2 linked regions of the Bombyx mori genome follow. The protein of the gene in region 1 purifies or fractionates together with the protein of each later gene. This does not show direct contact. Links are inferred from orthologs where the notes say so. Each region holds a gene or a part of one and is shown on either strand. Other genes may lie near its edges.

Evidence for each region. Proteins that work in one complex are often made in the same cells at the same time.
Region 2: the proteins of lethal(2) giant larvae protein (region 1) and partitioning defective protein 6 purify together in Drosophila melanogaster (affinity purification with western blotting; 5 studies listed by BioGRID, with this or other methods). This does not show direct contact. The link is inferred for Bombyx mori from reciprocal best matches to the Drosophila melanogaster genes l(2)gl and par-6.

Annotation. Positions count from the first base shown.
Region 1 is NC_085123.1:3,351,672-3,355,333, reverse strand, and holds part of lethal(2) giant larvae protein, read right to left. Parts: intron 2,098-3,662; coding exon 1,920-2,097; intron 1,135-1,919; coding exon 888-1,134; intron 257-887; coding exon 69-256; intron 1-68. UniProt on the Drosophila melanogaster protein: Essential for the development of polarized epithelia, for cell polarity associated with asymmetric cell division of neuroblasts during development, and for oocyte polarity formation.
Region 2 is NC_085126.1:2,348,481-2,351,923, reverse strand, and holds part of partitioning defective protein 6, read right to left. Parts: intron 2,401-3,443; coding exon 2,283-2,400; 3' UTR 1-2,282.

The sequences.
Region 1 (3,662 bases):
GCAACATTTTAAACTAAGTTTCTGCATAATTTGTAATAATCATTATTCTATCTAAATTAAATAATTACCATCGTCATTCCAGCATAAGCTTTCAAGCTGTTGATTCGAAACAAATGTATGTGTGGGAGCCGCAGCCTCCCGGTCCCAAAGCACGGCCAGTCCTCGGTTGTATCCGATCAGAATACGTGTAGGAGTCTTAGGGTGTTCGTATACAGACTCCACCGCGCCTGGGTTAACTTTGTAATCCTCTGGGCAGCTGGAATATAAAGATTTGACTATTAATATCAGAGAGAACCAAGTTTGTTTACTTTTTTTTATTGCTTAGATGGGTGGACGAGCTCACAGCCCACCTGGCGTTAAGTGGTTACTGGAGCCCATAGACATCTACAACATAAATTCGCCACCCACCTTGAGATATAAGTTCTGAGGTCTCAAGTATAGTTACAACGGCTGCCCCACCCTTCAAGCCGAAATGCTTTACTGCTTCACGGAAGAAATAGGCAGGGTGGTGGTAGCCACCCGCGCGGACTCACAAGAGGTCCTACCACCAGTAATTACGCAAATTATAATTTTGCGGGTTTGATTTTTATTACACGATGTTATTCCTTCACCGTGGAAGTCAATCGTGAACATTGGTTGAGTACGTATTTCATTAGAAAAATTGGTACCTACTACAGATTGATAATAAAAATATCGAAGACTTTCGACAAAAAAACTATGCACCGCAAATTTGAGATCATAGTGTGAAGAGCAATGCGATAGCTATTGAACTGTCTTCCAAAGTAGCTTTGTGGTACAAATAAACTGACCACAATAATGATCAGCATGACCTCATTGAATAGACTCAGGAAACTAAAATTAAAAACAAATCTAGATTAATCACTCACTTCTGCATAACGACATCCTGGTATATGACATCTTCCGAGATCGTGAAAGCGCTCAAATCCAATGAGTAAATGTTGCCGCCTTCGGTTCCCAGTAAAGCGTTCTTCGCTGACGATTCTACGCATATGGCCGATATCTTTTTATTTTTACCTTCGAATACATGCGACTTTAATTCCACTAGAGATTTCTCGTTGATCTCCCACAAGTGAAGGCTGTTATCGTCGCATAATGATATCAAACGGCCTGTCCCTGTAAACCGAACGAGAATAGCTTCATTTGGGCGTTGCGTCATAATGATGCGGACAAATATGGTGATACCACGTAAAATCGCATGTTTAAAAAAAAAAGTACAATTGGCATTGGGTTAGAGAATAGTAATTTTAGTTAATTGAGGTAGCGGCTGATCGAGAATGTGGTATTTTCTTGGTATAACGACTACGTGGACAACTACCATGCAAGGTCACAGTATCCTTATTGTGAAACGATATAATTTAACAATATTTAGAAGTAAATTAATGATAGTAAATGTCAAAAACAGTTTCCATTGCTTCTAAGGAAAAGTATATTAAAAGTTTAGAAGTTTAAGAGGTAAAAACTAGCTAGGTGCGTCACGTACGAAGCTCAGCAGAGATAGTTACAGTATTACAATTTGTTTGAGTTTGAATGATGGAATTGTCAAAGATGAATTTACTTTTTTGTTTGCTTTACCATAAATATGAATATATTATCATCTTATGACTTTTTTCGAAGTTTATATCTATCACCATAATAATAAATTTAGAAAAAAATGAATGGCAGAGCAGAGTAATGAATGACTCATTTTCAAACTCAAATGACTCATTTCAATTCATTTTAAAACTTTTTTATATATTTTTGTAGATTTACTTATGCGCGTTGGATTTTTTCTAGTTGATCATATATAAGCCTTACTCGATTGAATAAACTAATCGCAATGGTCTCGAAGTTATATGCTATGCGATATATAATCCGAAGAGGATTAATGAAGGATGAAGGTATTTATTTTCTTTGCTTACCTGTGATGAAATGTATCTGTGTGACTATCGATTCGTAATTGGTGTGTTGGCCGTAGAGTTCGACGCCTGGTCTGCCGTAGACCTTGAGCGCTCCGGTGGCGGTACCAAGCGCCGCGAGTCTGAGGAGCGGATCCCACGCGAGTGCTGACGCTCTGTGCGGGAAGCCATGCTGGACTGTCTGAGGATACAATAAATTATAAGAGACCGATAACCAATAGGGATCAGAAAGTCGTCGTGGCCTAAAGGATAAGCCGTCCGGTGCATTTGTATGTAGCGATGCATCGGTGTTCGAATCCCGCCGGCAGGTACAAATTTTTTCAATGAAATATGTTCTTGAGAAATATCCACGGTGAAGGAATAACATCTATACTAATATTATAAAGAGGAAAGATTTGTTTGTTTGTTTGTTTCGAATAGGCTCCGAAACTACTGGACCGATTTGAAAAATTATTTTTCCATTAGAAGCCGACATTGTCCATGATGAACATAGGCTACTTTTTTTTAAAAAAAAATATTTTATTTTTTTGGATTCATGTGTGTTTTAATGTTTCCGAAGCGAAGCGAGGGCGGGTCGCTAGTTGTGTAATAAAAATCAAACCCGCAAAATTATAATTTGCGTAATTACTGGTGCTAAATGTCTATGGGCTCCAGTAACCACTTAACACCAGGTGGGCTGTGTGTGAGCTCATCCACCATCGAAGCAATAAAAAAATTATAAAAAAATAGGTTATTATATCAAAATCTGATACAATCAGCTTAATCTTGCCCCTAGGTATATCTAGTACATGCATAGAGGAAGCAAAAAAAGCTCGATTTTGTACGAGAAACCGGTTACAGTTAGAAACTTTGCAACGATAAGGAATTATCACGGAAGTCGCCGGGCGGTGCTTTGTTTTCAGAAATGTGAAGTGTGTTTACCAAGACGAGCGCTTGTATTTCAAGTGAACTACTAGATGGTGACCGAGCTTTGTTCGTTTTTTTTTTTGATAACGCCATCTTGTTAGTCGCCCTCAATTAAGAAAAATAGTATTATTATTCGCCAATAGATGTCGGGAAGAGTTGATTATTGAAAACGCGAATAAAACAACATTTTCTGAGAATAAATCGTAGCTAGATCGATTTATCGCCCCCGAAATACCCTGTATACTAAATTTTATGAAAATCGTTGGAGCCGTTTCCGAGTTTCAGATTATATACATATTTATTAATATACAAGAATTGCTCGTTTAAAGGTATAAGATAAGTAACGGCAGTGTGAAGTTATTGATTGATGAGCGTGTCAGCATTCGTTGGGTGCCACTCATATTAATTATATTAGCGTCATGGCTGACTCTTCCATGTGTTAGCGATTTGAGTCTGACAGTTTACACATTAAAATATATGATGCTGAAAATTAAGTATCGATTTTTTTGTTACATATTTTTGAGTAGGAAAAATTATAACAGTTTTAAACTTTTTCGTTATTTTATCTAATAACAAACTCGAATTAATATTCTGGCGATTTGACAAAACGTCTTCAAATACCCGCCATCAAGGGGTCGATGGGCAAAAAAAGTTCTGCTATTGTTATTGAATTTCGCATAGTCGTAAAACCAACCATAAGCGACACTTCATACACAAATGTCCTTGAACAGAGTAATTGTAGCCTAGTATTGTATTTTAGTAACCTCAAGGGGTTATACTAGATTCACAGAACTAGGGGAACGGTTAATACACAAAATAAAGTTAATCTAATTATCTATC
Region 2 (3,443 bases), on another chromosome or scaffold:
GGGTGAAAGGCTTTTTGGTTTAAGCGACATCTCGGTTAATACCCGATATAATAATAATAAATCTCTGTACATAATTAAAAGTTTTATTTGACATTCGCATCAACAATTCGATGTTTTTAATTGAACTTCAATAAAGTGTTCTCCATTCAAATAGCTAAAAAAGTTTTTTTGTCAAGATTTTTTTTTTTTATTTTTCAACCTATAAATGGCTCTCTTGTAAAGTTGCAAAAATGTCGCTTAAGCCAAATACATTTTCACCCTTCGTTATATTATGTCCTTGTTATATTAATATTAATTGATATATCGCACATACGATGCGATAACGTCACTTATGCAAATTATGTAATTTTTCAGGAGAAACGTTGGAAAATTCAACATCTTACTATATATATGTATATATATGTAATTCGTATATAGTTCTTCTAGGCTATAGAAATAAAATCATAATATTTAAACTACAAACTTCATCAGTAAAAGCAAACATCTCTTTCGTCTCACTAGGTATAACTAATAACTAAAAAAATTATTTCTCATAATCAGTTCACTGTAAATTTTTTTTTGCATAAGTGACTTTAATATTAAAGCACCATAATATGTGCGATATTTTCAACGATAGACCATAGACAAAATCAATTTCTCCAAACGTCAGGAACAACAATAGACTAGCGATATTGAAATGCATTTTTTATTTATTTCTTGTTGTTTGTTGAATATATTTTTAGTTTCTTTTCATTTTATTATTAAATAGGTCGTCGTCTTTGAAAATTTTCAATTTGAATAATCAGGAACATAATTGACGTTGTAATAAAATTAACAAATAGTGTTTCACAAATTTTTTTTTTTAAATTAGTTACAATGGAATGTTATTTGTAATAATGGAAAACATATTGTCATAAAGGCACTTATGTTTAATACTATTTAAATATATTTAAACATTATTATCGATATTTTTGATTTGACAATTTATAATAATTCTATAAGACTCAAGCGCATAGCAAGAATTTTTAATCTTTTTTATTTTTATTTTTTATGACACAATAGTTAAAGTTAGCTTTACATTTTACGATTTGGACATTTTCGAAGTGTTTTTTAAGCACCATTTAACAATGTTATTAATTCATTATTATATTCCATGCCAATTGAACATTTGATATGTGAAAATCTTAACTTACTAGGCCGATAATAGGCCTGGAGTACTTTTCATTGCTCGTGCCATCGCCCAGGCCACCTTGAGCGTTCGTGAGTATACTTTACTTAATCGATTTCAGAATAATTAGAAACTTGCCTAGTTTCTAAACCGTGATCTCTCGGGTCTATAATCTATGAATCCTACTGGTCAATCAAAAACATAAACATTCGCTCGGAGTGAATGGCGAATGTTACAGAATGACAAAAAATCCATTCGTTCACTCAATTAACATATTATCCAACTTATAATAATATACATTTTCTATTTCATAAATGTTTTTTAATAATCATAATAATTAAAAAAAAAACTTAAAACAATAACGTGTTATTGCTTCTAAATAATTGTGACAACTAAGTTTTATCTAATTTGACACTTATCACTTACGATATAAGGCATACAACGGAATGATTAAGTACACAAGCTATAAGACCTCCCCTAATAATTATTGTCTTTTACAATTTTCACATGGAAAATATACGCACCATTAAAATTTAACACACTCGTATCCTAAATGGAATGTTTTTTAGGAATTTGACACTTGTTTCGTATGGAACAGAGTTTAGTTTCGGGGATAGAGAAACAATACAAACTTACCGGTATTATACAAATATCGATTTAGTGCAGAGATAAGAGTTTTAACGTTAAAATCAAACTTTATCAGAGCCATATGTTCCGTTTATCTATTTACGGAAGCATCACGTATCCCTCACATTTTTTTTTAAATGTGTAGGGACCACAAATGTCCTCACAGCAACTAATAATTATATGCATGTGTTAGCGGTAATTATATTGCAATGATGCTACGTCAGTCTCGGGATTGTCGGGCTGTCGATAGCACGTTAGGTTGTAATCCCAAATACGTTAAGTCACTTAACTGAACACGTGTCTTATTAATCCTTGCCCGATATAGAGACTCAACAAATGTTTCAACTAAAAACCTAAACAAATTTGACTGGCTCACTAAAATTCTGATAATGTTCTTCTATATGTGTATGAGGGTTCCCGTGACTCGGTCATGACGGCTTGAATAATGTCTTACGTCATCAGAGCGTTCTCTATCCCGCGGTCGTCTCCCAGTGCGGCGCGCGACGCGCTAGAGGTGCAGCACGTGTCCGTCGTCGCGGGCCGGGCCGCGCGCGCCGCCCTCCGGGTACTCCTCCAGCGTCACGGCGGTCAGATCGACGATCTCGTCTTGCTCGTCTTGATCGAACCTGGGTAAGAGTTTTCATGATTATTATATTTTATTTATTACAATTCATGTAAAATTTACATTGGCGGACTTAATGCCTAAGACATTCTCTACCAGTCAACCAAAGGTAGTGCAGAGTAAATAGTGGTATTCACCAATTATTCGCCAAGTTACCAAAAAAGTTTCTACTGTTGGTAGGACCTCTTGTGAGTCCGCACGGGTAGGTACCACCGCCCTGCCTATTTCTGCCGTGAAGCAGTAATGCAGTTTGAAGGGTGGGACAGCCGTTGTAACTATACTGAGACCTTAAACTCATATCTCGAGGTGGGTGGCGCATTTACGTTGTATACGTCTATGGGCTCCGGTAACTACTTAACACCAGGTGGGCTGTGAGCTCCTCCACCCATCTATGCAATAAAAAAAAATGCAATACACTTTAATAGCGAAGTGAATATAAAACGTCATTTTTTTAAGGTCTAAATAATAAAATTATTATATTTGTCACAATCCTTCATACGCTTGAAAGCTTGCAAGTGGATCGGATGTCGCAGTATATATAAAGGTCAGATTGACAAAGCGTTTCGCGAGCTTTGGGCTTCAGTCTCGTCATGGCCGACGGCGTGAGGTGAGCGAGCAATATAATATAACTGTGCCATTTAAATAAGAATTCAACAACAAAAAAATTAGTGCAAAATTTTAAGCCATCATGGCCTGAAGCAGTGAAGCGAAAATTAGGGGTCGCGACCCTTGTGGGGGCCGTGAAACGGTTATTGGGGGGTCACCATTTAATGAATTATATTTTTTTCTATCGATTTAGCAACTCGTAATACACCGCTCCTTCTCTATAATGGGCGTTGACAAAAAAATAATTTTTTTTATGATTGAAAGATTACTGCTTGCCCGGAGGCCTTTCCAGCTTCACCAGGACAGGTGGGCGAGCAAAGGCTCAGCCAGGAGGGGTGGGATTTGCTAACAACTGCCCGAGCGCCTGCGAAGATCTAACAACTCAAGAGCAACTGCTTCGCGAATGAATCTACTACCGGATCGGAATCGCGACCCACTGAG